Drosophila melanogaster: one gene and its partners. The main gene of each other region encodes a partner of the protein of the gene in region 4 in a complex. Each region holds a gene or a part of one and is shown on either strand. Other genes may lie near its edges. The genes, in order: Nup205, Nup98-96, Nup93-1 and PCID2.

Region 1 (9,281 bases), on a different chromosome or scaffold from region 4:
ATATATAAAACTGGAGGACTGTGGATAACTATTATTTTAAACATTTGGACTTAAGGGAATTCCAATTGTTAAACCATTTTTAAAAATAACAATTTTAAAGGTTAATTTCCTTTGTACCAAATGTATCTCTAATATATGTAAGATATACTTCAACTGAAATTACATCTATTGAGACCAGCCAAGCGATGTTCAAACATTGTTTAAATATATAGTTCACTTATAAACAAAATGTTTTTGTTGGATCTGATTATTATCTCGTCCAAATGGAGCCTTTGTTTTAACTGTTTGTTACCATTCTGATCCAGAAACTAATCGACCTTCCTGGTTGGGGTTGTGCCACAAACTGCTGGGAAGTGAAGTGGCTTAGGGGAGCGGGGCGACGCCCGCTGTTGCGGCAAAACAAAGGGGCAGCAACAACATCGCGTTTGTTGCTGTTGCCGCATGGTATCGCACATCGCCTTTGACTTTTTTCGTGTGGAATCGGGTTTTCTTCCGCCGCCCGCGCATAAACAAATCGAGAACCTCAGAGGCGAAAAACGAAAAACAGAACCACAACGATCGGGAACTCTTTTCAGCGTTTATGCACGGTGAAAGTAATGGGGCAAGAACGGAGAAAGAGGCGCAAGAGAGAGCGAAAAAGTTAGTACACCAATTAATGGGTCGGCATTCTGTTGGACTTGAAAGCATTGAGCACTTTTTGTGGTCGTTTTTGCCCCAGCAGCTGGTCCAAAGATTAATCATTCCGCTCTCTGCGTTTGCTTTTATTAATTCTCCTTTGACCCATCGAATGGGGGGAGTGGTAAAGTTTTAAGTTTCTATATTATCAAACTATAGGAAACTATATCCATGATACTAGTTGGGCAGTCTCAACTTTGGAGTACCGAATTTGAAGTCTTTTGATCACCTAGCACTGCATAACTAGGTTATTTTCATAGCCAAGGAGTAAAGTATACTGAATACACTCGAAAAAAAAAACACTAATAGAGAATTATAGTTAATACAATTACCAACCATATGTGAGTCTACCATTTGCACCGTTCTTACTATAATTTGAAGAAGCTGTACTTTAAAGGTATAGTTCAGTTTCTTCCTGTGTACTCTGTCCTATGACTTCTTTTTTTTTTGTGTGTGGGAGCGAATTATGAAGTACAGAGGAAATGGTCGAGCAACACAAACGCACACACACATTTGGAGAAACTTGGGAGATACTTACATTTGTTATTGTTGCTGCTTCCTCGAGGCTGTGCTGTTGTTGTTGCCGCTGCTGCTGGTGGTGTTGTTGTTGTAGCTGTTGCTGGAGTAAGTGCAGTTGTTGCTGTTGTAGTTGTTGTTGCTGATGTGCCGCAATACCACCACAATCCATAGTAATTACGGGTGCGAGGGGGCGGGGTTAAGTGTGTGTGGGAGTGGAGTGGAGTCGTCAATTGGGAGCGCACTCTCTATCTCTCTCTCTCTCTCTCCAAATCTCGCTCTCTGTATTGCTGCTCCTTCGCGCGATCGCTTACTGCAGCGGAATGAAAAGCGAAACAGACATAATTGAAGAAATGCGATAGCTCTCCGTCTTGAATTTCAACGATTCGCCGTAAGGGAGCGCTGTTAACCGCTATTTCAGTCACTGTTTGTGTCTTGTTCCTTTTTTTTATTTTTTTTTATTTTCAGCTAACTCTGCAGTTTGCCTTTGTCCATATTTTCGGTGGAAAAACCACTTCCTTGCTCTCTCGCTCTGGCTCCCTTGCTCTTCTATACCGCTCTCTCTCTCGCTCGCCAGGCGTTGCGTGGGCGAACGTAGGGGAGAGAGCAAGCGAAACGAAAAGAGAGAGGCGAACGCAGTTTGGAGTTTTATGCACTGGAGTTGTGAGTATGTTCGTGTGTGCCTGTGTGACTGCTACCCCCACACACTTGCACTGCCTCTCTTCCTCTCTGTCGCTCTCGCACACCCAGTACCAAGTACTCTGAACTCCAACTCCAGTTACAAATTCAATTCCAATTCGAATAATTCCCAATGAAATTTGAATTTTCCTTCCAATTGCACTGGCTTTGGCAGTTAGTATCCCTTTTGGCATTTATTGCAGCCGAACTGCGCCGATTGCATTTGCATTTACACTTCTACATCCACTTCCACATCCACTTGCATCGACAGCCAGAACCAGCATCCCACTATGGTGCAGTTCAGCCTGCCCGCGGCCATCGGTGATTCACTCACAATGCGAACAGGACACCACTTGGGCAGTGCGTTCGCTGGCCAAATCAAGTGGCGGAGAACAGAAAAAAAAAAAAACGCGAATCGGAACAAAACAAATGGATGCTACTATCGGGTAACTACGAAAAGTCCGTGCGTAGATTTTCACGAAAACGCCCCGCCCGCGCCGCACTGAAGTTGTGTTAGTTAGTGGTGCGACAACGCACCGATGCAGCGCCTCGATTATCGTTCGATAAGCATCGATTTTCCGATTGACTTGGTTCGAATCAACCGTTTAGCCAGCGCAGCAACCGCAGTTAGCGGGCACAAGCACCGAAGCGCGTACGAGCGTGGTGAGTTCGTACGGTGGTGAACATCTGTGTTTTCCAGTATTTGCAGCACCCAGCCCTGGTAACCGGCGCCTTGTCGCAAAGCGAAGCAATCTTGCCGCGTTTTATAGTCAATAACTGCGAATCAGCAAGAACTGCGTGAACTGAGCGAACCGCAAAACCAAGTGAAATGGATGGTGAGTGCCTGGCCAACGAGCAGATGTGCGTGGGTCGCCAAATCACTAATGCCACCCATGCGTCCACAGCTGTAATCGAGGACATGTGGACGCCGTACAAGCATTTGTACAACACTTTTCAGACCGCGGTGTCCAATCGCAGTGGCTTCACCTCGGATCTGGAGCAGTGCCTCAAGAAGTACAAGCACAACTTCAGCAACTTGCTGCGCAATCCGGTGGGTATAGCAAAACAAGCGCTTGCAGATCCGTAGATTTAACTAATTATTGATAATCCATTATTGAAAATGTCGGCAGCCGAGAAGCGAGAAGAGCCGCAATCTCCTACGAAATGCCCTCAACGAAGGCGTCCCGATGCAGGGGCATTCGCGAAAGACAAAGATGTCACAGGACCTGGCCGACGAGGCGGTCATTCTGTCCGACATGTTCGATCTGGACGAGGGTTTCGCCGTGGAGCTGCTGTGCACCGCACAGCGCCAGCAGAAGCATCATCCCGGCCTGTCCAGAGGCCTTGTCGCGGTGCTGCTCTACTACGATGGACGAAAGGCCATCAGCTGCACGCTTCGCGACATGTTCCAGGTGGTTAGCGGCGTCTCGTGGAACACCGAACTGCCCAAGGAGGTAAGTTTCGAGATTTCGACATCGCAGGCATCGCAGTGCCGCTGAAAGAGAGATTCACTGACCCTGATTATCGTTCTACGCACGCAGATCACCGGTCTGGTCACTAACTATGCCGAGAGCCTTGTCGACGGCTCTGGGATACTGGGACGCCTGCTGCAGCTGCTCGAGGAGATGGATGTCGACAAGGAGGTGGGTTTGTATGCGCCTGTTTCTGAAATTCTCTGAAATTGCATATCTTCCTTCGCAAATTGTTATTCATTTGTTGTCCAACGTTCGCAGTGCGCTATGCTGACCACAAACCGCGCGTTTGGCTCCAAGAAGCATCAGAACCAGGTGCTCGGCCTATACGAGGACATTCAACAGGCATTGGCAATGGCCCTGTTCAATTGGTCGGCACAACGCGGCCTGCCGCGACACATTGCCATTCGGCTGATGCACCAATTGGCCAACCGAAAGAACCACGACGCGGGCGGCAACATGGACGACGTGACCCTGATCATGCTGATGGCTCTGCTGTATGCGTACGATACCTCCATGCTGCTGGTCACCGAGGAACCCAATGAGCACACAACCCGACTTCCGATCTTCAGCGATCGCGAGTTCGCCGAGTGCTTCCTGGAGGAGCTGTACGCGCAGAGCAGCTGGCAAGCACCGCGCCTGAATGCCATCATTGCCTACAGCTTCGGACTAACGCTGGCCAGCCTGCGGCATGCACCTTTGCAGCTTCAGGCCACCGCCATCTCGATCATCAATCGCGATGAGATGCTCATCGACGAGGCACTGGGAGCGCAGGTATTCGTCTTCTTCCACAGCTTGCTGCTCGAGAAGGATCTGGTCTATAGGTGAGTACTGACAACTGAAGTGTCAATTGCCGATTCGCAAGCTAATCATCATTTGTGCTGACAGCACGCAGTTCTTCTACCGCCGCGTCCATCTGCTCATCACGGACTTCATCGACTTCATGAACTCCAAGGTGTCGGAGCTGCGCGGCCGAGCAGACGAGTCGTCACACACGATCATCAGCTTCCTAAACGAGGGTCTGGAACCGCCGCCCAACTTGGACTCCAACTTTGAGCTGCTCATGCTGTGCGTGGCCAAGATGCACGGCGATCCGCGCGTCACCATCAGGCTGTGCAACGAGTACTGGGGCCCCGGCGATCCCAACGGCTCTACGGCATTCAAGAACACCTCGCGCTCGGTGTCGCTGTTCAAGTTCATTAGCTTGGCCAGCGACCTGCTGCCACAGACGCTGTTCAAGGCCTACCTCAAGATGATATCCGGACTTACACGGACCGATTTCTCGGCTCGATGCGCCTTCAACATGCTTAGGGTGCCCCAGATGGCCACCGGCGGCAAGTATGCGGTTAGCTGGGATCACTTCTTCACCACCCTGGGCAACTACTATACGTAAGTGTGACTCAAATCTGGTATTGAAGATCTCTCTGAAGATCACTATCTTCTAGTTCGATGCGCAACGACTTTAACACCAACATCGGCATGAGCGGCGAGACCATTTACCGCACCCGATCGACACCAAAGGCCATTACGCAGCGAGAGGCGGAGCATCTGGTGGCCGTAATGGGCATCATACAGGCGGTGGCGGAACACGACGAGGTCTCGCGCATCATGATCTGTGACCATCCCAATTGGCAGACGCCGCAGGTGCTCCTGGGCCTGGTTGCGTGCGCCACGCCGCTTTTTTTGAAGGCGGAGATTCTGCACACGCTGGCTGCCCTGGCCAAATCGAAGGAGACGGCGCGCGTCATCTGGTTCCACCTGGAGGCCTCGCAGATTATACCCACTGTGCCCGTGTCTAGAAGCTATGCCCAGTGCAGTTTGTTGGAGGAGATGGAACAAATCGAGAGCCGTTCGGAGCAGTATAACCTGACGCGCGGCATCCTCCAATTGCTCTACACACTGATGACCACCAATCTGCCGAAGAGTTTGGGCGCCGGGCAACGGACACCGGCCTACGAAGGCTATCTAAAGTCCATGATAAATTCGGTGTTGCTCAAGTTTTACAATCGCGCGTACAAGGTTCCCTCCGAGAAGTGGCAAGTTGGCGCCCAGTGCCTGAAACTGCTCTACTACCTACTGGCCACCTATCGGCCGTCCGCAATGGATTTTCTGGAGACAGTCGATGAACCTCCCTATCCGGGCTTTCACGTTATGATGCAGCTGCAGCTGAAGTCCGAAATGTTGCAGCTGCTGCTGTGCATTGTGGAGGAGGTGCGTGAGCGGCTGGACAACTACAATCGCTTTCAGGGCAAGAAGCTACTCGAGGAGTGCTCATTGTACGCACTGCTGATCCTGGAAGCCGCATTGGCGAAACAGAACGCCTTCTTTGAGGCCCACTCGGCGGCCAATTGCCCCATTTTGCTGTCGGGCCTGAATCGCATGCTCCTGGATCTGAATCCACGCAGTCGCAAGCCCGATCACGTGCTGAATATCATTAAGTATGTAACCTATAATAGCTGGCTGCCGCGGCACGCCCTGGCCGCCATTAAGATTCTGGCTTCGGTCACCCAGCTGCCGAATGTCTCCACCCAGATTCTCAGCATGTACGGTCAGGGCAGCAATGAGAAGCTCGAGATTCGTCAGGGTTTCGTCGAGTGCCTGGAAATGGAGGTGTGCGTGGGCAAGCACGACGACGATTTGTTGGACCAACTGGCCCTCAACAATCACGTTCCGTATCTGGGATTCGGCGATGATCTGGACAATGAGCGAGAGATGAGCGGGGAACGCGAATATTCAACTATTGAATCGCAACTGGAGCTGCAGGCGGGGGATGGCGCGCTGGAGAGCAAACCGGCTAGCATTGAGCTGCAACTGAAAGAGGCCATTATCAAGCTGTTCGAGATGAATCTTAGCCAGCAGTTGCCCAACTTTGTGTACTTCCTGCTCGGCGTGGATGTGCTGCGCGAATTTATGGCCAACGGACGGCAGCACCTGGCCATCGAGATGCAAAGCTCGTGCGTGAACTCCGTAGTGCTGTTGCTGGAAAAGTACATGGATGTGAGTTGAAAGCCATTGGCCATTACTATCTATTCTAACTAACTAACTAACTAACTAACTTACCAACTTTTAACAATCAAATCAATCTCTGATATTGCAGAAACAGCGTCACAGCGATAAGTACTGCGAGCACACGGCGAGAATCGTGGAGCGCATTTACCATCTGTTCCATGGACTCTGCGCCAATCGCCGCACCGCGGAGACGATACTGCGCTACTTCCGGCTAACGTGCAGCGACTTCCTGCTGCGTCACCTACGCTCGCTGCCCTTCCGGCAGCATCGCGAGGATCATGTGCTGCACGCCATGGGCCACCTGCTCAACTGCGTCTCTATCGATGTCAAACTGGCGGCCAAACATGGCCAGATGACGCGCTTCAACCAGATGTGCGACATTTTGCTAATTGGAAACGGAATGGAGCGTTCATCCCATGGCCTGTCGATGGAATTGGGCCACAGCCTGATTTCACAGCCGTCGTCGTCTTTCCTCGCCATGGATGTGCTACCGGCCGGTGGATCGATAAGTGCCGTGGCACATGGGGCTGGTTCGGCGTCTCTCGGAGCTCCAAACACTGGGGTCAAATCACTTAAGCCATCGCTGCTGCAGGAGACATCGCAGGGACTGCATGTCACCCGACTGCTAGATATTCTCGTCCTGGAGGCGGGCACGTTGAGCCAGCCGCAGCTGGAGTTCTTCGACGGGCATCTGATCACTCAACTGCTGCGCGACTGCGAGGCATCCGCCGAAGCTGGCGCCAATTCCAGGGCCAACTTGATCAACGTGCGCAAACTGTACTACATTCTCACCGACGAGCTGTACATGGTGCAGAGCATCATTGCCAGCGGCCAGCGGAAGGCCATTTCCACGGAAATCATGCTGCTGCTCAATCACGCCGTCAACATAAATCGCGTGCGGACACAGCGCTGCGCCACGCTGGCCTTCATGGCAGCATGGGGTCAACTGGTGCAGGTGCTCTTTAGCAACATGCCCGATGCCGTGCTTCCGGCGACGCAGCGTCGCCAGCACATCATCGATATCGTCGAGAAGGTACTCATCAAGGTGCAGCCCATACAGCCCATCATCGAGATATCCGTACAGGTGAGCGAGACGGTGCTGCTGCTGCTTGCCAATTTGCGCTACTGCTGCTACCAGGCCGAGGACCAGAGCCCCGAGGATCTGGCCGCCGAGGATTCGCTCAGCAATGGCAATGGCAACGCCATCGGCAACGATTCGCAGGTGAACGCATTGTGTCTGGGCCAGAGGGCAATCGGAACTGGTTCGGATGGCGGCAGTGGAGGTGGACGGGATATCGGTTCCGGTGGCAACAGCAGCAATCTGCGATTCATTCTCAAGAACCTCGTCCAGTGGATCATGATCAGTGAGGTGAAGTCGCAGAAGCTGCGCATCAATCTGTACAGTTCGCTGCTGAATTGCCTGCGGATCGCGAAGCGACTGCGCACCGACGAGCATCTGGAGTACCAGGAGACGTAAGTGTATCCTTCTCAACAGCAGTAGCAGGCAGTTGTAGCTTTCATTCTATTTCATTGCAGATTGATTTCGCGCCAGGAGAGTGCACGCACGTACAACAAGGAGCAGCGGCGCGACGATCGCCTGCGGCTGAAGGCCATGGCGGCGGAAGTGATTGGCACGTTCGGCGAGAAGCTGATCGACACCATCTGCCACGATGCGGTGACCGGCCACGATGTGTGCCGCATGCTGGCGCTGGCCTGCCTGGACATGATCTCCGAGCTGCAGGCGGTGAGCACGCTATGCGACTTTGTGGCATCGCGTGGCTACCTCAAGCACATACTGGAAAGCCTTGATCAGTCCAGTACGGCGCTTTGCGGGATTCTGCAGCCCGTGCCGGATCACCTGAGGCCGCTCTACGTCTACGAGTCGCGCATGGCCTTCCTCACGCGCATGGCGAACAGCAATGTGGGAGCCCGGCTCCTCCTCACCGAGCAGGCGCTGGGCGTGCTTTCGAATATGAAGGTCTATGACCAGCAGCCCGACCTGAAGTCCAGCGAACTGAATCGTAACGAGCCGCAGACCTTCCTCCCGTCCATCGATGACCGCTTCCGGTCGATCCTCCTGCCGGCGCTGAGCCTCTGCGATGCCATTGTCAACTCGCTGGGTCCGCGCAACAACTCCGCCGCCGTGCAGGTGCTTAACTTTCTGTTCGCCCACATCGACATGGTCGAGGCCATGTTGCGCTCGGCCACGCCGTATATGGACCTCGGCCACCTGCAGCAGGTGGCGGTCATTAGCAATCTGTTTGCCCGCGCCTCCACGCACGAGTTGACCGCGCTGGAGGATAGCGTGCAGCTGGATTTGCGAAATCGCCTGGGCCGCGTGCAGCAGCTGATGATCGTGGTGTTCGGACGCTTTTGCGTAAGCGAGCCCACCATTCGTCGCATGCTGCAGCAGGATGAGGAGCAGCAGACCAACCCCACCGATGACTCGAAGAGGCTACGTGTCAAGTATTTTCTGGATATAGCAGCCAACGTGTCGCTCTACTGCCGCAACGTGGTCACCAGCCATTCGAAGGACAGCATGACCTCCAAATACTTGCTGACCACCGTGATCAATGATGTAACGCTGCTGTAAGTCCATCGCCCATTATATTTAATTGTATAGCCATCGATTATTAATAGCATCGATTTAATTCTCCTTGAAGCACTGGCAAAATGTCCAGCAAAAAGCTGACGACCATCATGCACACCATCCTCAATCAGCTGAAGGGCTCCATCGGCTACTACCTTTCGCAGAAGTCGATCGCCGACAATCTCCTCCAGCAACGCGCCTCCCTGCCCAACATCAGCTTTGGGCCCAACGGTAAGTTCTCCTTGATTTTGGCATTTAGCATTTAGCATTGATGCATTCCACATTTGGCTGATCCATTTGTACCAATCAACCAGGTAAACAAAGCTACATAGAACTGAGCC
Region 2 (9,243 bases), on a different chromosome or scaffold from region 4:
GGAAGATGACATCGTGCGCCGTAGCAAAATGTTTTGCCTTTAGCAGATATTTGGCTTGAAGGTGATGCTTTCCTGACGCTCCCGCCTTTACCGCCTTCGCATAGTCCACCCACGACATCGGAATACCAAGCTCTTCGACGATAAAGCGCTCTTCCGCATATAGAGCCACCTTGGCGGAAACGCTGACATTCCTCTGTAGCATTTGCTGAACTGCACGTTCCCTCTGGGTCTGCTGCTTAATATGCAAAAGAACAAAGATACCCCACTGCCAGAGGCCTTCGTTCTCCAACTGGCTAGCGAAATCCACCGAAAGACGAGCCTCCGTTAAGGGCGAACAGTGACGGTAGCCAAGAGCTCGCAGAGTTTGCAAGAGCAGCCAGCTAAAATGATTTGATATGATTTATTTTGCACTGTACCAAAAAATTCTTTTAGCTCACCTCAAACGAAAGTCCATGGCATCGGCGGTATGCGTTATAGGATTGAGAGTTTCTTCCAGGGAATGCATACGTTTAGAGTGTAACTGGAGCAAGTGGTAGCGCAAATCGTAGACGGGCTTCTTGGTGTCAGTAGGTGCGTCCCTGTAGCTGGGCTTTGGGGGCTCCGCATAGCACTCTTCCGCTTGGAAGGCGTCGTTATAAGCATTGAGTGCATCGGTGATAGACGATGTTGGGGCTGTGAAATACCATAGCTGCAGGGCCAGTGCTGTCAGCCAGTTTTTATTCTCGAGTAAGTTGATGGCCCCATGTGAAGACTGCATCATTGGCGCTCCGGCGGCCAGCATGTACATCTTAAGGCGCTCCAGATCGATATACTTATCCGACTTGCTCTGCTGCCAGGCAAAGAGCTGCTCCTCCATTAATAGCCGGAAGACAGCTCCGGAACTTAATTGGGACAGCACAAGAGCCAGATTAGCATCATCGTAGCTGAAGGCCAGCTCACAAGCCTCATTTACGCGATGGCAGCTAAGTAAATCCAACATGTGCTCCAGGTAGCTGTGGGTGCTAACTTTTTTCGAGAGTAGATCTTTGCCCAGCAGCGTGTTCTCAAGCCACTCGGATAGCAGATTGCGCCGACACATGACCATGTAATGAGAGTTCTTTTCCAGGTCCACCAGTTCATCGTGATCGCCCCATAGTGCGAATAAAAGCGACCACACTGACACGCTATAGTCCTCTTTTAAGCCAGCATTTCTCTGCTTAAGAGACTCGGAGAAGTGCTTGGAAACTAGTTTCGTACCGCTATCGGGATGTATACACGGGCACTCACTACCCTCCACATTAACTGAGAGGCAGTCGTTAAGCTGAACTTCGAGATGGGGAATGATACTTTCTCGAAAACCCTCGTTGCCTTTGACCATGTTAAACTCCACCAACTGCATTACACTGGGCGACAAATCGGTGGCCGAGCGCGGCGCAAATACCATGGAGACGGGCAGGGATGGTCCAGTAACTGAAGCAAAGGGAAATTATTATAATTGGACTGCTACAGCTTGTTTCAGATATTCTTACATTCTTTTAGGTTTTGCATGTTATTATAGGTGCTTGGCAGTACCAATGAGTTTTGTGGACCAAAACTGAGCTTAAAGCTGCGTCCTTTGTAGAATCCCAAATCGGCGATCCAATTATCGCGCATCTCATAAGCGATGGACCTGGGTAGGGGAACCGTGGTGGCACGCAACTTAATCGGAGCCACTTTGGGCTTACAGACAAACTTGAAGGCTTTAGTGACAGGCATTTCAAACTTCGTTTCTTTTACAGCTGCAACAATGCTTCCAGTTGCCATCGACGATGTCTGAAATTGATCAGGATGTTTATTGGGCTTCAAAGTAAAAGGTTACGTCGATATACCTCCTCATAATGTGCATCACACATCAGGCTGGCCTCAGAGACGGAGGAAGAAATCGGCAGAGCGGGCGATGGGTGTTCAAAATCGTACTGACTGGAACTCTCGGAGGCACCATCTTTCCAAACAAGAGGTTCCACGTTGAAAAACTTGCGATGACGAAGAAGACGCCCCGTAGTCTCTGTAGAAATTTATGAGTAATTTTCAAATGTATAGTGGCCGTGTGGGATGATAAGCAGTGAATTGTTGTAATTATAATGAATTGTTGCCAAAGCAGGCAAAATGAATTGGATTTACTAACACATTTGAAAGCTTTATTAACTTTATAATTTGTGCTACCTTTTTAAACATAAATATATATATATAATACTTTTTGCAACGATCAAAAATCATTAAATATCGTTGATAATTAACAATACATATTTGCTCAAAACTAACGATTAACATTTAAACATCTACATATCTTTTACTGTAAGCAATTTGAAAGACCATCAAGAGATTATCCACCTACCCATGGGTTCGTCCTCGGGAGCATTGTCCTCCACAAAGAAGGATGACTTCATTAGCTGCATTTTGTGCGCCTCGTTGCCTACCATTTCCTGAGCCAAAACAGCTGTGGGACTGGTAATCGTTGGACGTTGACGCGGTGGATCAAACATGGAGAAATCGGAGTTGCCACCAGCTTGGAAAAATTCTGCGAATTAAAATTAAGTAAATTACAATTAATGAAACTAAACCTTTTAAAATGGACTTTAGACGTACGTGTTTTGTCCATTAAAAGGAACTCGGCGGTATCATCCATTGGCCTGAATCCGCTGGCAACACCTGCGACCAAGGCTTTTGGGTCCAAGTTACGGGCTGCATCTTCTGAAATCTTCTGCGCTTGGCGCAGCGAATTGAGCGTCATCTTTTCTGCGTTTGCCCGCTGCTGAGCCTCAAGCGTTGCAATTTTGGCTTTTTTCGGGTCAGTGGGCAACTCGTCCTCTTCGTCGCTGTCTCCCAGGCCATATTTAGAAAAGTGCTTGACGCGGAAGACCCAACTACCCGTTTCCGGGCGGTATTCTATAAAGCGCGTATCGTTTTTATCGCACACCCGGCGCAACTTGCCCTCCCAGTCCATCTCAAGCAAGCGTTGTGGGTCCTTGATGGCTTCGTGCTTGGTCTTGTCCAACGGCCATACTTGGTCCAAAGTGACCTGGGCGTCACGGTTTAGACCTTGACCAATGGGCGGCTTGTTTTCGTCGTCGGGATAAATGATAATCTCCTTGTTGCGAAAGTGGACTGTGATACAAATTGTTTTGCATTAAATAAATGTATGAGAGCAAACACAAACGGTTATAAAAAAACACAAGACTCTTACCAATCTCATCGAGGTTCAGGCCAGCCACATCCATTTCCTTGCCGAAGAAGACATTGCCGTATCCTTCCCGACCCACCGTAAAGTTCGGAACCACACAGGATCCGTCCTCGGCCAGATAGGAGCGTAGGTCGTCTAGCGATGGAATTGTATAGTAACCCACGCGTCGCAGCACAATGCCTGTTGGATGTGATTCGTCGTCTGCTGCCTCTGCAGCAGCTGCCTCAATGGCTAGGCGGGATTGGTTTGCTGCAGAGTCCTCTGCCTCATTAGATCTGTTCGAAAGCACACTCTCATTGGCCTGCTGCGAAGTGAAGGTTTCGCGACGTGCAATGGTGCTGGATTGATCCTCAAATGGATTCTCTGGGATGGTTGACACCGAGAGGCGAACGGTGGAGGATGGTCGGTATGTATCTAAAGGTTTACGTGGCACAAGCTCGTTGAGGGTGCTGTTATGGGGCGATCCCTGATCCATTCCAGTCTGAATGTTGTGCTGGCGTACCTTCTCAAGGTTGTTAGGATGCAGCCATGACTCACGGCGGCCGTTATCCTGACTTTCCCGTCCATTCGTTGCTCCAGGCGAGTTTCCAGCTGGTGGTAGCGGCTCACTTGGAATGGCTCCGCTAAACGACTCGCGTTCTTTGTTGGGAGTTGCGCCTTTGGGTCGAGATTGGGGCGTGTTGGGAGCACTGCCAATAGAGCTAGAGGGATTTCCACCCTCTACACTTTTTACTTTGGGTTTGATAACTAATCGTTTAGCACTGGGCTTCAGATTGAAGCCCTCTACAGAAGCATCAAACTCCTCGAGACCATCAAACAGCGATTTTCTATTAAGTGTGCTGCCCAGCGCCTTTACCTTCATTGGAGCAGGATTGTTGCTGGTACTTATCTTGTACTGGTTGCTGGTCAGGTCCAGAACTGCTTGTTGGGCAGCAGGATTTGTAGCTCTTGTTGCATCTGCTTCACTGCTTAGCTTTAGATCCTTGAAAATCGGAGAGTCTCCGTAGGGAGAAGTTACCCTAGCTAGGATCTGCTGATGAATGGGCTGGTGTGAAGGCGTCATGATACCCAGTGTGGGCTGAGCTCCCATAATACCACCAGTTAACGAGTTGTTTGTACCCATACCGAAGCCTCCTCCGCCCAAGGAACCACCGACACCTCCGAAACTGGTAGTTCCTCCTCCAAACAGTCCTCCCGTTGGGGCAGCACCCGTGCCACCCAAGGTTGTAGTACCTCCTCCAAAAAGACCTCCTCCCGGCTTGGCTGTATTTCCGAAAAGTGATCCGCCCGTGTTGCCTGCGTTGAAATTAAGTGGTGCTGCGCTGGTGGCTCCAAAACCTCCGAATCCGGACGTTGCTGGCTTGTTCAATCCCGAGTTAAAAAGGCCTCCTCCCGTTGCTGCTGTACTGGTGTTCAGGCCAAAATTTGAAAACGGAGTGCTAGCCGTGGAGGTTGCGCCGAAAGTTGGAGCAGCAAAGCTAGTGGCGGGCTTGTTTCCGAAAAGGCCTCCGCCGGCGGTGCTTGTTGCTGGAGCTCCAAATCCAAAACCTGTCGTGGCTGCTGATGCAGCCGTTCCCAACCCAAAGGCTGATTTATTTGGATCGGCGGCTGGTGTGGCACCAAAAAGAGTTGACTGTTGCGTTGCTCCGGCTGTGGTTCCAAAGCCTCCGAATCCTGTGTTAGTCTGTCCGAAAGCAGGAGCCGCACTGGTAGCAGGTGCCTGACCAAAGAGGCTTCCTCCCTGTCCAAAAGCAGGCTTCGCCCCAAATGGATTTGAAGCGTCAGCTGCGGGAGCGGCAAACGGAGTGGTGGTGGTGGCTCCAAAGGGCTTTTGCAGAAAGTTGTTTTGCTGGGTTGCTGCTCCGAATGCATTGTTAGTCGCCGGTTGTTGGCCAAAAGCGGTGGTGCCAAACATGCTCTTATTCTCGGTCACAGTTTGGCCAAACAGACCTGTGCTTGGTTGGGCAGTGCTTCCAAACAGGCCACCACTTGCAGGCTGAGCGGGCTGAGTAACCTGAGCTCCAAATCCAAAAGCTCCCGGAGCATTCCCAGCCTGTGGACCCTTGCGCCCGCACATATAGTCTTCCAGGCGGAGCTCCTCCAGAGATTTGCCCTCGAACTCCTTCATAGCCGTGATGCAGTGCTGCTTAGTGTTCACACTATTTGCCTGACCGCTCTTCATCAGGGTATCTGTACCAATGGTTGGCTGGTACTTGGCCACGGCCGTGCCCGTATTGACTCCGGAAGCTCCCACGGCCGTAGCCTGAGGTTGGGCAAAGGCGGAGGCGGTGCCACTGCCAAAAACATTGGTGGTTGTAGGCGCCGACGTCCCAAAGCCTCCGAATCCTGTTGTACTGGTGGCGGCAGCCGGTTGGCCAAACAAAGAGCCCGTGGGCTGAGCAGCAGCTGTTTGCCCAAAGGCCGTCATAGTCGGCTTGGCGGCTCCAAAGGCGGGTAGCGTCGATTGTCCAAAGAGGGAGGTGCTTGCCGCCGTCTGGGTGGATCCAAATATGTTCGAGGTCTGTTGCGGCTGCGAGAAGGCTGCAAAGAAGAAATTACTAAATTAGTAACATGATACCACTTCAAATGATCGTGTCTAACCTCCAAAAGCCGTGGGCTGAGCTGTGGCAGTGCTTCCAAATCCCGTGGACGTGTTTGCCCCGAATAAGCCTCCGGCGGGCTGAGCTGGTGTGGCTGCCGCACCGAACAGTGACTGCTGCGCGGGTTGGGCGGCAAAGGTGGAGGTGTTTCCAAAGGCCGGTGCGGCGGGTTTGCCAAATGCCGACTGGCCAAACGGAGTGGTTGTTGTGGTGCCGCTGAATCCGCCAAAGCTGGTGGCCGCCGGAGTGGCTCCGAAGCTGGGTTTCGCGCCGCCAAACATTTTGCTCGCTGCTGCTGCTCAGATAACAAACATATACTAGGTAGATCCCCTGCTTTGTCCTTCGCCGGAATGCCAACTATCGCGATGAGCAATGCTTCGATTTCACCACGTTGGGCAAGCTGGGGCGGCTGCGCCGGATGCGAAGGTTGTGGGACCGGACAGGCTTAGCTTAAAACAAATAAACACTCGCGAATTTGTCAAGTCAGCAGGAGTCGACCGAGTCTGACGCAAAAAGTGGACAGAAATGGCGCGCCGATTTTTTCACGATGTTGAAGAAAATGCAGCCAAAAGTGTGACCAAGGCGTGAAATCGCATGCAAAAATACACTGTAAAAAAGCAGGATACAACTGCCAGGCGCATAACTATTGACCATAACTTATTTATGGTCTTAATAAAATTTTTGCTTGGTGCCTCCGAAGCAAATTTACTATGAATGTGTGGAAAATGTATTTTATAACTTGGGTTTCTCGTATTTTGTAGGTAAGCTCGATTTTCACATTTTTATGTGACCGTACTGCGAACAAAGTGAAAACCCATTTGACATCAACGGTGTGAACACGCTGTAAGGGGCACTCTATATTTGATATTTTCGATTGGGAACAGTACGGTACTTCTGGGCATCGAGCACGCTCATTCACAACAAACAGTTGAAACGCGCGGGTTGTTTTCCGAGAGCGGTTATTTAATTAATTGGCAACTGTCACACACGAGTGTGTGTGCGATCGAGTGCGTGTACATGTGATAATTAGCTGAGCGGCAGCGGCCAACTCCCAGCCCAAATACAAGTCGAGAACAAAACGAGCGAAAAACGGCGCAAAATGCATTTGCGGAGCGACAATTTGTGCGGAATGCTAGCTTTTGTGCAATAATTATTTATTGGTTGCAATTGTCCAACCGGTGTGCTTTTCGTCGAAATCTGTAGCGAAATCGGAGGCGAAATGCTTGTGTTGGCGGCATTGTGAAAACGAAATCAAAATTTCAACTACGTGTTGCTCTTTTGCCGTTGCCTAATTTAATGTCTTGTTGTTTTTATTTTCGCAAACGAAAGTCCATCGCTTTGCATGTGTGAGTAGCGATCGTTTGTCGCCGTGTTGGTGGTAAAAGTCGGCGCAAAAACAACAATATCAGCAACAACACTAGTAGAAGCAACAACAACGAGAAGAAAAGCCTTCAAGATGAGTGTGTGGAGCGACTGCAATGCCAAGCAGGCAGAATTCGGCATTGGTAAGTTGGCAATGCGGCTATTAAGCCGATAAATTAGGTAGAATATGGCTAGGCAGGAATGTTTAAACAAAGTGCTTTGTAAACAACAATAAAGGAAAACTTTATGAACTGTTGGGCGCTCTTTTCCAGAGCACACCTCATCTCCACCCCCACCTCTCTCTCTAACTCTCTCTCTTATTTCACCGCATGTGTGTGCCTCCTGCTGCGTTGCTACGGTAAAACTTGTTGCACCTTCTCGCTTGCACACGCTCACTCGGCTGCTGTTGATCCTCCCTTTCCCGCTCTCACTGTGTTGTTTCGTTTTTCATTTCATTTCATCCTGCTCAGTCAACACTAGCATAAAATTCTGAGATTTGCTCTTGAAACTAAAACCTGTTTTCTATTGTCTCTCTCGCTTTTCATACTGTCTCTGTCTCTCACGTGCAACTGCAACACACTGCCAGAAAAAAGGCCTGGTACACATAAAGAAATTTTATACAATTAATGTAATTTTACATAAACTTAAATCTGAAGTACTACAACATTAGTACTACAACTTTTACGTATTTACGGGTGTGGGATTTGAAACCTGGTCTTTGTAAACCCAAGGCAAGCTGCATCAAGCTGACAGTAGAAATGTTTATTTTCTGTGTACACTGTGAGACAAATCCCAATTCAATGGCAGTGACCATGAAATATCTAATCGCGACCCGCTTCGAATGCGTGTGAATTTTTTATGGATCTCGTTTTGTTGACCTTTTCACCGCTGATCAATAGATACGACAGGTACATAAAGTACAGGTACCTCTAGTCCCAGGTAGATCGAGTGGAACTGGGAATCTCGTTCGTTAACACTCGAATGGAGCTTGCCGGTGTGTTTGCACTTGTTATTTACACACGTTTGCCTCTGCCTCTGCCCTTTTTTGTGTTTGCGCGTTTACTAGCTGTCGAAATCGCTGCGAGTACGAGTATCTGATAGTACCATTGGGGCGTGGCCAGGTGGACGGGGGTAGTGGGTGGTGAGCGGTGGTTGGTGGTATAATGTAATTAAGCGCGATAATATTTGGAATATGGGGCGGCAGATAAGTTAGTCGTTGGCATTGAGTAGCGAATTTGGCCTTTGTAATGCGAAAACGACTTACAGCATATACGAAATTCAAAAGAAACTCCTTATCAATAGCAGTTTGATGTATTCTTGTCTTATCGCTGTTTTCCATTCTGTTTGCATACCTTTTGTTTGCTTCAATTTTCAAATTCTAAGCAAACAGCCGGTTGCCCCACATTTTGTAAAAATTTTTTAAGCCAAAAGATTTGCTTGGCAGCTCATCCATTTTGCGTATTATTTTCGAAATATTGTAGTTTCTCGAAGGCAATAGCCATTGAGTAATCGCTTTATCACTTTATGGGCCCCATTCGAGTTATCGTTTATCGATGTGTGCCTGTGCTTGTGGGTGGCACTCAGCTGAATTGAATTCCGTTGAAGTGCGAGTGAGTGAGCGAGTTAAAGTTAAGTCCTCGGCCTCCTGCATAGCGGTAGTCACTCGCATATAAAAGATCTGGTGCATACATACATATTTTTCGTATGCTGTTCCCACTCACTCCTTTGGATGAGAATGCTGCATCTCCCTGCTCACTCACCTCCATGCACAGTGGGATGATTCCTGAAATTTACCTGAAATATATATAAAAGTAAACCAAGCGAATAGCCACAAAATGAAGGGATGTTTACTCATAAAAGCTAATTAACTTCCATCAAAAAGGCTTTTCAAATTTACAATTAACAAAACCATATATTTAGGTAACTAGTATAAACTAGCATAATTTGATCAGCTTAGTAATAATTGTTTTAATCCAAAACGTCCACTTAGTTATTCTAATTGCCCCACTGTGCCGCATATGCTTTTGAAAGTTTGCCTGCGGTGACATCTTCACTTCATTGCTGCACTACTCCACTGTTCAT
Region 3 (6,680 bases), on a different chromosome or scaffold from region 4:
GAATGTTTGCGCCCAAGTGCGCTAGCTGCGGCAAAGGTGGGTTCACAACTTCATTCCGAATAATACGTCAATGCTAATCTCGCAATCGTCGGCAATTCTCGGCAGGCATCACACCCGTCGAGGGCACCGACGAAACTGTGCGCGTCGTCTCGATGGACAAGGACTTCCACGTGGACTGCTACATCTGCGAGGAGTGCGGCATGCAGCTGACCGATGAGCCGGACAAACGCTGTTACCCGCTGGACGGGCGCCTGCTCTGCCGCGGTTGCCACCTGCAACGTCTGGCGCTGCAATCCTCGCCACACGCTCGTCATCAGGAGCCCGTCTGCGCTTCGTACCAGTATATGGGATAAGCGGAACGGAGTGTGGCTGGGAGAGGCGGCGCGGCGCAGACCGACCTTCCGACCTTCGACTGAGTGGCGCACAAAACCAGAACAAACTATCGCAATCAACTTATTCCAATTAACAATATTATCTTAAATAGACAGAAGTGAAAACAAATGCATTTATACGAAACGAGGGCCAAGCTAATGGCTTTTTTTTTTCTTCATTTTTATGGCAGTGTACTAGGATCTCGAAACGGATCTGTTAGAAACTATGTAATGGATTCCTAAAATCTCCGACAGTTGGCAGCCATTGTTGGCAATACTATTTTGATACAAGTATATTGATGTGTTCTTCATATGTATGTCCTGGGGTGTTCCTGAGACCTCTTGAGGTTTCAATGCAATAGCAAACGGTGTCTCAAATTATGCAATAAAATACTTAATACTTCTTATCTGAAAGTCTTTTGTGGATATTCCAGTGGGTTAGTGGCTTGTTGTGATACATACCATACATTCGGTTATTAAGTAGCGAAAATGCAAAATTTTAATTGTTTGCCTAAACCGTGAGTAATTAACATATACGTGTGACATTTTGAATTTTGTTTAGTTTTCTTATAACACATACATACAAAATATTTTCTTTTAAATTTTTCGAATGCTTAATGCTTTAAATGCGTTGCGCTTAACAGAAAAATTCCAATAAAATTATTGGAAAGAAAAAAATATAATCATCAATAAAATTTTAAACGAACTGAATGAAATGCATATAAACGATAACTAGGTATTAATCTGGCTAATGTTAGTGCATAAGGATCTCCAGCTGGACGAGCCGCTGGTTGGTGGTCGATGGCATTCGGTATGGAACGCTGGCAGCCATGTTGGTGAATGCCTTGGCCCTGTCTCGCAAATGTTTCACGGCGGGCTCCTTATTGACGCACTTGCTTTCATCAAAGAAACCGGAAGCTGTTTCATTCGAGTCCATTAGCTTCACATACTCCTGGTATACAATGTCCATGGACGCCAGCAGGATATCGGGCAGCACTTTAATGACCTCGGGACCCATCCGCTTTATGTTCGTCACACACTCGTCCACTTCCAATGAGCTGGCGGGTATCAGATGATTGTTGGTCAGGATTTCTAATGCCGAACGCAATGCGCCTTCGTGATAGTGGTCAAAGAACTTCATGACCTTTGTCAGCACCGTATATGTGACAACAACTTGAACCTCTACGTCCGATTTACGCACGACCAGCGCCGCATCTAGTCGATTGATAATATCGCCCAGCCGGTTACGCACGCTTCCATTCTGCGTTGGTTGGTGGACCACCTGTGCCAGTAGCGAGTTCACCAAACGCAGTGCCTTGTCCAGCTGGCCACCAATAAAGTAGAGCTCGATGGCCAATTCGTAGTCGCCGCGTTTCGACAACTCATCGCCCACCATTTCGGCCAGAGAGTACTTATCGCATTCATGAATTTGAAATTCCGCATATATGCCGCTAAATAAAGGGGAATGAATAAACCATTAGCTATTTGCCAAAAGGATTTTGAAATCTTTTAAGAGTACCAAAAACGTAACATACCCATAGCGCAAGCCGTTTTTCTTATCCTCCGTCCCGAAAATCAGCTCTAGCATTTCGTCGTCGCATTTCTCAACTAGCAGATCGCAGACGCAGGTGAGCATCACGTTGCCGCGTCCGTTCTCGGATTTAAAGTTGCGCAACAGGTAATAGTAATGCAGCGCCTGCGTGGTGTCCGTTCTCTCAAAGCACTTGGTGTACATGACGATCAGACGCACAAGATTGAGTCGTTTCATTGGTTTTGGGTCGTCAGGGTCGGAGCTCAGAAGGGATTGTTCCACGGAACGTGGTGTTCCCAGCATGGATATCTCGTTTAGGGCAATGGCCATGTGGATAGCGTGCGTTCGATTTTTCTCGGTGCGGGCGAGGAATTCAATGGCGGCCTCAAATTGGCCGGTAAGCGTCAGCACCTGGAAGTATAGCGCCGCCTTCTCGCGCGCATTGAAGTAGTTCTCGCCGTACTTTTCTAAAATGAGCGATTGCAGGCCGCTGAACGTTAGCTGCTCCGTGTTGCTGTCGCTTTGGTCCGACCTGCGCAGAATGGACAGTTGCATCCACAGGAAGTCGTCGATGCTGCGCATTAGTTCTACGTGAGTGAAGTGCGGATCACACGCCAACAATACGACGTATACCTAATGGAAAAGAGAAAAACATATGATTAGCACGAATATACGCAACAAGTTGTAGCAAAAGATGAGCACTCACCGCCTTTTTGTAGGGATCCGTACAGGCGCGCAGTCTACTGTTGTACTCCAACTTTAGCTGACCCTCAAGCTTTACCATCAAGTTGTCCCTATCGCCGTTCTTTCGCAACGTCAATAGCGTAAGCAGGTCGGGGCAGGTTCCCGATTCCTTGAGATACAACGCAGCCGCGTCCATATCGCCACTCCGCAAGCTATAGTAAACATGTGGCCACAATGGCTGGCCATTGTTCACGTCATGCAGCCCGTAGAGGGCTCGCTGCCCCTGGAGAGTAACGCCCACATAGGAGCGGACCATATGGTACACGCTGGGGATTCCTCCCCGCCGCGCTTTGGCCAAATTCGCGACGATAAACTTTCTCATATACGTCCTATATCTGCGCTCCAAGTACGTGCGGGCCTGCTCAACGAATTGCGGTGATGTCTGACGATTCTTGATTGGATCGATGGTGCTCGAGACTGGCGGCAACGCGGTCATAAACTGCAATACATTCCACATCTCGGCTACGGACTCATCGTTGAAGGAGTCTTGGACCACGTGGGCAAGGGTCGACAGCAAGTTAGGGCGTCTGCCCAGGATGATCGACTGGTTGTGGATGGCGATCTGTTCAGCGTACATCTGCTCATGGCCATTCAGTTGGGAGTACGGAGTGGGCTCATCAGCCATGGCCGTGGGCACTATCTGAAACTGGACGTCGGGGAAGTCCTGTTGGTTTGGTCCGACCAGAGCGTTTAGCAGCGCTTCCTTCTCCTCGCCCCACTCCGAGTAGATGCAACGCCACTTCTGTCGCTCCACAGATTTAAATATCTGCAATGGATTGGTTAATGGAGATAGAAAGTTCAGAATTTTGGGTGTCTGCCTGAAGCATGTCATTTGGCGCACTCACACTGCGATTCGTCTCATCGATAACTGAGAGTATGGCGTTCTCCCGCTCGTTCTTCAGATAGGCCTGCACATTGGTCTCCGTCACCGGATCAATCGGCTCGAAGGTTTGGCGGGCGCTGAGCGACTCCAGCTTCTGTGTAAGCTTGGGCAGGTCCACGCCCTTAGAGCCGAGCAGTATGTGGCTGCATTTGAATGACCGGTTAATATGACAATTTTTGGCGCCTGGCCTATAGCGAACTACTCACGCCTGCAGATCATTGGTGCCCATTTGGGTGACACGCGAGTGAAACTCCTTGGTTGCCTGCAGAACCTGGGACATGGTCCGTTCCACGCCCGGCACCTCCGTGTCCGTATTGGTCTCGTTCGTCAGGCGCTGGGCCTGCTTCAGCAGTTCCATCAGATCCATGTCGTGATATTGGGATGGAAAAGCCGGTGCCAATAAAATGATATTTCCAACGAAGCGCACACCAAGCTGCTAGTGCTGCCACCTGGTCGCAGTCCGGATTATTTCGGCGCCATAAAATGTTTGCAATCGGTGGTATTCTTTTTGGTATATTTAATAGTACAACTGTTATATGTTAGAATAACTATAATAATGTCTACAGATGGTATATAATTTAAAAGGAATATTTGATAATTAAAATCATTAAATTGAAAAATTTATATAGATAGCAGACTAAGAAATTATTTCTCAATACCTAAAAGTTGTTATAAAAACAAAGAAAATAGTCGATTTCCCCGAACGCGAAATTTCAAAATTTTTATGGAATATCGATATATTGGGGAATAAATTGAGAACAAATGGGAGTTTTGTAGGTATAAGGTATTTTTGGTATTACGCAATCTGTTATTGAAATGTCCCAATAACAACTGTTATTGAGAGGGAGTTGTAAGTACAACTTTAAAAACATTTGGTATTAGCTTGGTATTTATAGGCCGGCCGAAAGGCAGGACCGTCTGGTAACACTGAACAGCAGGCGTTAGTGTATTTCGCGCAGTGCAGATTGGTTTATTCAGCGGCTAACCAATTCAATCGTGAATAGACTTTAGCAGCGCGCAAATCGTAGAACAGAACGGCATATTTTTTTTAAACACTGCGAGGCGAGCTTCTTCTTCCCTCCGTCTCTCTGTGTGTGTGTGAGTGTGCTGCCTGTGTGTGTTACAGCTTGTGTACGTGAGTGTGTGTATTGGCAAAGGAAATTAGCACAACAAAAGCGAAAAGGAAACGAACACGCACGCACCTCGTCACGCGGATAAAGAAAAAAACTCTTCGATCTGATCAGAGATATCGAGAATAAACGATAAAAATAATAACAATATCGCAATGTCGGAAGTTGAATCGCAGCAGAGCCAGGAGACGAACGGCAGCAGTAAATTCGATGTGCCCGAGATAGAATTGATCATAAAGGTGAGCGAACAGCGACATTTGCATACCCCTGCAGTTTTCCATTTCGCTCTGCGCAAATTTCCGTGCAGAGTGAAAATGCAGCCGGGGCAAAAGCAGAAGCAAATGCAAACAAAGGCAAAAACAAGAAGCGACTGGGAAAACGCGAACTGCCGTTTGTTTCTCCTCCTCCTCCCTCTTTTCGGCTTCTTACCCCTGTTCGTTCTTCGTTGTCTTCTTCTTCTTCTTCTCACTGTGGCACTTTGCAGTGTGTCACATTTGGTTAAAACGAACAGAATACGTTTAGCACACACCGCCCCCTCCCCTCTCGCCGACGTTCCCCTTTCGCCTTGCGGTTCCTAAGCATCGCCAAAACCGGTTTTCTCCTTTTCTCCCTATCGCACATTCACACACACATACACACACACATACACACACACGCACGCACACTATCGCATACACATGCATTCGGGCACATCTGCACAGAACGAAATTGTTGATTGAGTTATGATTTTCAGAACTCCATGATTACCATTATAAAGCATCCAAATTAAATATTACAGCATACCTTTTTGGTGCAATACTCTAAAGCCGCCCTTTTTCCAAATTATCCGAGCATACCAAGCTGTTCATATGAAATATCTTTTTAATATTTTATAATTAACAATTAATCATGATATTGCTGTGTGCGCACAGTCTGAAATTTGTGGAACGTAACATATTACTTCGGTTCTTATCTGCTAAAAAATTTAATCACATTTCATTGCGCCAATTGCTCAACAAATGCTCCTTCATCATAGTTCTCCTAAGCCCCCCGCATCGCCCCCCTTCGCAACCATCAGCATGTTTCTCTCTGTGTGTGTGTGTGTGAATTAGAGGTTCTTTTTTATCTTTTAGTGATTTCTAAATTTCTTGACACATACGTCATGCTCCTCCAAAGAATCGAAGAAAACAAAAAGCTAGCACTCCGCACATTTGCGGTCAAGATAATAGCATTGAGAAGCCAAGATTCCTAAAGTGTGATTAATTAAATGAATTTAAATCATAGAACTTAACTTTAGATTGCTCAATATGTAGTGTTTTATTTCTTTATGTATTACAAATAATCGATAATAAAAACTTGTTCGATTTTTTCTCCTCGAATACAACGCTTTTCTTATCAGTTCTGTTCTTCGATAGTGGAAAAAAAAACATGTGATAAAACAATTGTTCATTGGCATCTTTCTTAAAGGTGATATTATTGCAAAATGAGTCAAAGAAAGATTACGAACCCTTTGGTTTTTTTTTTTGTATTATAGTAGAGGCCGCAATCTATTTCTTTCCCCGGAATTGTAAGTCGAGCATGAGTCCACTTAATTTTGTTTCTTTTGTTGGTTCCCACTGTTTGCCGAAGTAATTGTAATTGTTTTCGGAACACTTTGGAGCCCTGCTGTTGTTGATTCTATTGGCAAACTCGACTCGACTCAACTTGGCCACTCATCCAGCCCACGCAAATGGAGACCGCACCTCGAGTCGTCTGCCCATGAGTAATTTCCCTCACCTTTGCATTGCCTAAACCCAAACAGTACAATATACCATGTGTTATACCATTCGATTCCCGAAAGAAAAAGAAAAAAAAAACCCCACTCGACGCTAAACAACTGACATGAGCAATCGTGTACTTCGAATAGGGTTTCGTAACCAGTTTTGTTTCCAAATTAAACAGCAATACGATATGTAATGGCTGAAATTAGTAGCTATATTCTATTCATATCGTATGATCGTAAGTTTTTGGTCCTAACACTTTCGAAACCCATCCCCCATTTC
Region 4 (5,080 bases):
AGTACAGTGCCAAGGCTCCGCCCTGCGAGAATCCGCCCAGGACAATGCGATTGGCCGGAATCCCAGCGCTAATCTCCTTCTGGATCATACCGTGCACACTATCACGCGCCGACTGGATGCCCGGCTCGTCCTCGGGCCCACCGATGTCCAGCGTCTTCAGGTCAAACCACGACGGCATGCGGAAGCCGGCGTTCAGCGAAACGGGCTGTGTGGGCGCCGTGGGGCAGATGACTTTCATGAAAGGTGGGCGGATGGCGGCTAGGGCACTGCTCCAGCCATGACTGTTGGAAAAGGCATTCATTAACGAGATAAGAAGGATTTTGCATAACTCTTTCACTCAAAAAAACTTCTATTTACTTAGGTAAGTTTTGTTTGCAGTTTTCTAATAATTTAAAAGGAAGAACGAATTTAAAATGGTATGGGATATACATAATGAGCTTAACTGGGGAATACTCTGAAGGCTTCTCATCAGTTACTTGAATCTAGAACACCCTAAGCGCTTATAAATTGTTTTTTTTTCCCATAGGAACTGAAGCGTTAAAATCCTTTTAATTTCATATGTGCAAATATTTCTGTTTCGCATACTTCAATATTTTGTGAATGAAGTCTTTGGGAGCATTATTTTGAATGAGGATGACCCCACTTACCCCGTATCACCCAGGCCGTGCATGAAGATCAGCTGCAATACACAAGTGATTAGTCGAGGGCTTCCGGAATTTGGACTACGGCGGACTACTCACCGTGGCGGTTTGCTTGACCGTGGCCTCGACAATGACCGGCGCAGCCATGTCTGCTGTTCAGTTTAGCCTCTACTGGGGACGCACTATTCCTATTCCAGGTACTCTGCGATTCGGCGACTTGGCGCTGCTTTCGTCGCTTTTTTCGGTGTCAGCGGATTTCTGCAATGCAGTGAAAAAGAAACACTTTGTAGTTTGCGTTTTAGTTATGTCACGTTGTAAACGCAAAGCAAAATTAGTAATATTGATTTTACGATTGCGAAAATGACAACACGTCGCCGGCTGAGAAATGGTTACTAGCTAACTAGATCTAATCTTCGCCACTTGTCTTATGTACACTTTGCGCGAATGAGGCTCTAATCATTTACCAGGTAATACCACAAGTATTGTGTTAATTTGTTTAAATTCGCTCAACTACGACAATTCATGCAGCTGCGTTCCAAAAAGTTCAGAGATGAGTGATAGTCGGTGGACCTAGAGATGTGACCGAAACCGATTCCGCTGTCGATACATCGGTTCGAGCACAAAAATCGATATATATCAATTCCAAAGTTCGATTAAGTTTAAAAAGTGGTATTAGTTTAAAACCGTTGAAAAATAAACATATTTATAACCAAAAATTATATTATTAGTTCATAAGTTGATTTGAAACATATAGGTTTCGAAAAACCAAACAAAATTATAACCAAATAGAATTGAAGGTACTTTAAATTCAAAGTCTTCAGGTCTTATACTCATCGTTGGTGCCCTCCATTCACATGCCCCATCCAGTAAACTAATACACTGATTAAATTGGATTCTTTTACTCTTAAAAATTCACAATAATTACAAAATGCACTAAAGGGACACTGAGGGGAATGGATTTTGCTTCGACACGACCAGTTTGTTGTGAGCATGTGAGATGTACCCCTTAATCTTTCCATCGTAAATGAGATTGGCCACGATGCAGTGCGTCTCGTCCAGAGAAACATCGGTTAAGCCAACGAAATGCAAGGCGGAGAGGAAGTCACCCATGTCCAACTGATGCGATTTCCGGATGACGAACACCTTCTTGAACAGGTTGCGATACACGAGGAACTTGAGCTTCTCCACCAGCAGATAGATACCACTCCTGATCAGCACCAGCTCCTGGTCCCTGACAATCTCATCAAAGCGATTCACATTGCCAGCCTTCATGGCCATAGCCAGATCGAGAAACAGCAGGAGATCGTAGCGCTGCAGTAAGGATTTGCTGGGCAGATATCCCAGCAGCATCTTCACTGGCACCAAATAGATGAGGATGAGCCTCTTGTTGCTGGCAAACCGATCCGGGCAGTTGCTAAAGGCATACGACAGATACTGTACGGCTGCCTGGTAGTTGGAGTCGAACATAGCCCGTCTACCTACAAAATACTTGTAGGTAATTTGCTCCGGCAGCGGAAAAGAATCCTTGAAGATGCAATTATCGATGGCACGGATAAGGGGCTTGCACAGATGCAACTTGTTGATTCGAAAATAAATCTTGAATAGCTGGTTTACGAGGTTCATCATGCCCAGACGCTTGGTGTCCTCCTCTGAAGCTCGTCCATCAGCGGCACAAACGCGGAAACAGGCCATTATGCAGTCGGCAGCCTTCTCCAATACGTGGCCAGGTGTGAATCCTTGACAATGCTTCTCGCAGGCCTGCGCCAAGTACCTTAGATCCAGGCACACGCGGTACATTAGTGGCAGGCACCAATTCTCGTCCTTCAGCTGCTGCAAAAGCCTCACAACGGCTCCGCAGGCTGCCGACTGTTGGGTGTAGGCTTCCATGTAACCAGGAGGCTCCTGTGCCAGGTGATACAGCACCTTCAGGTGGGCGGACACAACTTCGTCCAGTGGCGGTTTCAGGAATCGATCCACCAACTTTTCCGGCTGGGCAATGTACAAATTGTGGTTCTGAACGTGCACGTCTCGTAAGGAGAGATACGTGGCCAAGGACTCGCCATCTAAATCCTGGGCGGCGTGCAAAACGCCGGATAAATAGTTATTTACGGTGCCGAACATTGTTTGTGTTTTTCGCAGGCGGCAAAATTAGAGATGGTAGGTCAGGCACTATCTGCGAATGCGATGTTTTCATCGGAAACTTCTATCGATTGTCTTTGTTTTTTATAACGCGATAATACAAAGAATATTTTTTCAAAAGTTTTTTTTTTAACATTTTATTTTATTTTATTAAAAAAAGGTATTTATTTACATTATACTCGGTTTATAAAATAAAACTCTGAACGCAGAAAAAGAGTTTTTTGTTTTAAATTTTAAAATTTCCCTCTGCAGCGAATCGATTATATTCCGCGAAGGTCTTTTGCTTGCCCAAAAGATTCTAAATTTAAACAATTTTCGTACATATAGTTGTGATAGCAGAGCTGTCACAAGACATGCTGTTTCTAGCCAGTTTAATAGGCCTTTGAGTATAGTTCACTTAGTAAATTACAAATTAAAGCTTTCCAAAAACGAAGCCAGTGCAACAACATATTTCACAAGGAGCAAAAGGATTCAAACATGTCGACACCGAATTTTCTCTTGAGCAATGGTAAAAATATGCCTATGTTGGGTCTCGGAACTTGGCGGGTAAGTACTTTTACATAGATATATATTGTTATTAAATAATAGCCAGCTGAAATGTGCATTTCCACTGCATATTTCACGGTCAATGTCAAAGCTCTTCGGGGTCAAGCAAAAGCTTTTGATGCACCTCAGCTTTTTACGTTTTATTCGCCATTTTAGAGCCCGCCGGAAGTGGTGACCCAAGCAGTAAAGGATGCTATTGATATAGGCTATCGCCATTTTGACTGCGCTCATATCTATGGCAATGAGGCGCAAGTGGGAGCTGCTCTCCGGGAGAAAATGGACGAGGGAGTGGTCACACGGTAAGTGCTGCTTTCAGGCCTAATCAATCGTTTATCTAAGCCATAAATACATATTGCACTGCAGAGATGAACTCTTCATCACGAGCAAACTTTGGAACACACACCACAAGCCGGATTTGGTGCGCCCGGCATGTGAGACAAGCATAAGGAACTTGGGAGTCAAGTACCTAAACCTCTACCTGATGCACTGGCCCATGGCCTACAAGTCGGGCAGTGACAACCTATATCCCACGTGTCCGGACACCAATAAGGCCGCATTCGAGGACATCGACTATGTGGACACGTGGCGTGCAATGGAGAATCTGGTGGACGAGGGTCTGTGCCAGGCCATCGGTGTGTCTAACTTCAATGAGCAGCAGATGAATAGACTTCTCAGTGTGGCCAAGCTTAAACCGGTAGTTCTTCAAATCGAGTGCCACCCGTACCTTAGTCAGAAGCCATTGATTACGCTGTGCTATGACAATGCCATTGCTGTGACCGCCTACAGCTGCCTGGGATCGGGACATACGCCCTACGAGAAGCCCGGCGCTTATCCACTGCTCCAGCATCCGACCATCTTGGCTATAGCTGAGAAATACGAAAGGACTGCGGCACAGGTGCTCCTACGCTTTCAGACACAATCGGGTATAATTGTCATCCCAAGATCAGTAAGCAAACAGCACATGTTGGACAACTTTAAGCGAATCTGGGACTTTGAGTTGGCCGTCGATGACATACAGGCCATTAACGAATTGGACTGCAATGGGCGTTTTATGACCATGAAGGCGTAGGTGTTGCTCTTTTCATTTCCTAGGTTTTAACTTGAAATATCTCGAATCTTTCTATTTTTCTCCTAGGGCCTATGGACATCCTCATCATCCATTTGAACCCAAAGCCAAAGTAGATAATTAATATTAATTAATATTAGAAGTACAAGTAGTTATTTAAACTGATTGCCTTTAATGTGATAAGTAAGATTGTATGCGGCGATCTGCAGAGTTATACTGATGATGTCCAGGTACTTCCTTTATACTGAGAAGTCTAGCATAATTATTGTTATACAATATAATAATATAATATAATTAAACTGTTTTGCTGTGTGTAAAATCGAATTGTAGCCTTTGAGTTGGTGGGCATTTTAAGCTGTATTTAAAATGTGGCTGTTTATTTTTATATACACATTTATTTTGCTATTTTTCATTTAGGCTTCAATACTAAAACCAAGTAGCCATTGCATTCCATCCGTCAAGAAGTCTCTACACAAATAATTAAAATTTACTGGCGTGCAAAATGAACACTCTAATGAAAATTCAATTGGTTAGGCCTGTTTTTCGCATTACGTTGAGGAATTATGGGAAACCAGAGCGATTTATGTGGTAATATATAGGAAAATCAAATCGAACAAAGCATCAAAAGTATAATTTCCACAAATATTGTAGGTGTCAGAAGGAGTATGCTAGAGCTCCCAAGGTGGTT

The links.
Region 1: PCID2 (region 4) and Nup205 share a complex: the UniProt entries of both Drosophila melanogaster proteins name them as parts of the nuclear pore complex.
Region 2: PCID2 (region 4) and Nup98-96 share a complex: the UniProt entries of both Drosophila melanogaster proteins name them as parts of the nuclear pore complex.
Region 3: PCID2 (region 4) and Nup93-1 share a complex: the UniProt entries of both Drosophila melanogaster proteins name them as parts of the nuclear pore complex.

Annotation. Positions count from the first base shown.
Region 1 is NC_004354.4:19,849,650-19,858,930, forward strand, and holds the start of Nup205 (nucleoporin 205kD), read left to right. Parts: upstream 1-2,564; 5' UTR 2,565-2,698; coding exon 2,699-2,920; intron 2,921-2,999; coding exon 3,000-3,323; intron 3,324-3,410; coding exon 3,411-3,512; intron 3,513-3,602; coding exon 3,603-4,165; intron 4,166-4,229; coding exon 4,230-4,730; intron 4,731-4,786; coding exon 4,787-6,338; intron 6,339-6,438; coding exon 6,439-7,823; intron 7,824-7,886; coding exon 7,887-8,939; intron 8,940-9,013; coding exon 9,014-9,171; intron 9,172-9,254; coding exon 9,255-9,281. Other genes in the region: pico, read right to left, coding at 1,214-1,363. UniProt on the Drosophila melanogaster protein: Plays a role in the nuclear pore complex (NPC) assembly and maintenance, but with limited role in NPC permeability. Required for specific nuclear import pathways such as Mad import.
Region 2 is NT_033777.3:23,775,085-23,784,327, forward strand, and holds the start of Nup98-96 (nucleoporin 98-96kD), read right to left. Parts: upstream 6,538-9,243; 5' UTR 6,081-6,537; coding exon 5,801-6,080; intron 5,741-5,800; coding exon 3,203-5,740; intron 3,124-3,202; coding exon 2,605-3,123; intron 2,537-2,604; coding exon 2,354-2,536; coding exon of another isoform or gene 2,334-2,353; exon of another isoform or gene 2,132-2,333; intron 2,024-2,131; coding exon 1,848-2,023; intron 1,792-1,847; coding exon 1,509-1,791; intron 1,450-1,508; coding exon 438-1,449; intron 381-437; coding exon 1-380. Other genes in the region: mbc (myoblast city), read left to right, coding at 7,256-7,304. UniProt on the Drosophila melanogaster protein: Part of the nuclear pore complex (NPC). Required for MAD import as part of the Nup107-160 complex and required for nuclear export of Moe probably via its association with Rae1. Plays a role in nuclear mRNA export.
Region 3 is NC_004354.4:13,820,143-13,826,822, reverse strand, and holds Nup93-1 (nucleoporin 93kD-1), read right to left. Parts: upstream 3,998-6,680; 5' UTR 3,897-3,997; coding exon 3,736-3,896; intron 3,673-3,735; coding exon 3,492-3,672; intron 3,413-3,491; coding exon 2,609-3,412; intron 2,536-2,608; coding exon 1,907-2,535; intron 1,823-1,906; coding exon 1,126-1,822; 3' UTR 913-1,125; downstream 1-912. Other genes in the region: jub (ajuba LIM protein), read left to right, coding at 1-36, 106-353; Clic (chloride intracellular channel), read left to right, coding at 4,815-4,898. UniProt on the Drosophila melanogaster protein: Required for nuclear pore complex assembly, maintenance and function. Required for nuclear import of phosphorylated Mad via importin msk. Has no role in classical nuclear localization signal (cNLS)-dependent nuclear import via importin-beta.
Region 4 is NT_037436.4:11,624,162-11,629,241, reverse strand, and holds PCID2 (PCI domain-containing protein 2), read right to left. Parts: upstream 2,802-5,080; 5' UTR 2,763-2,801; coding exon 1,575-2,762; 3' UTR 1,527-1,574; downstream 1-1,526. Other genes in the region: Apt1 (Acyl-protein thioesterase 1), read right to left, coding at 1-281, 648-679, 741-788; CG6083 (uncharacterized protein), read left to right, coding at 3,258-3,326, 3,483-3,625, 3,690-4,391, 4,462-4,516; Akr1B (Aldo-keto reductase 1B), read left to right, coding at 4,895-4,980, 5,044-5,080. UniProt on the Drosophila melanogaster protein: Required for the export of nuclear mRNAs and involved in mRNA trafficking in the cytoplasm.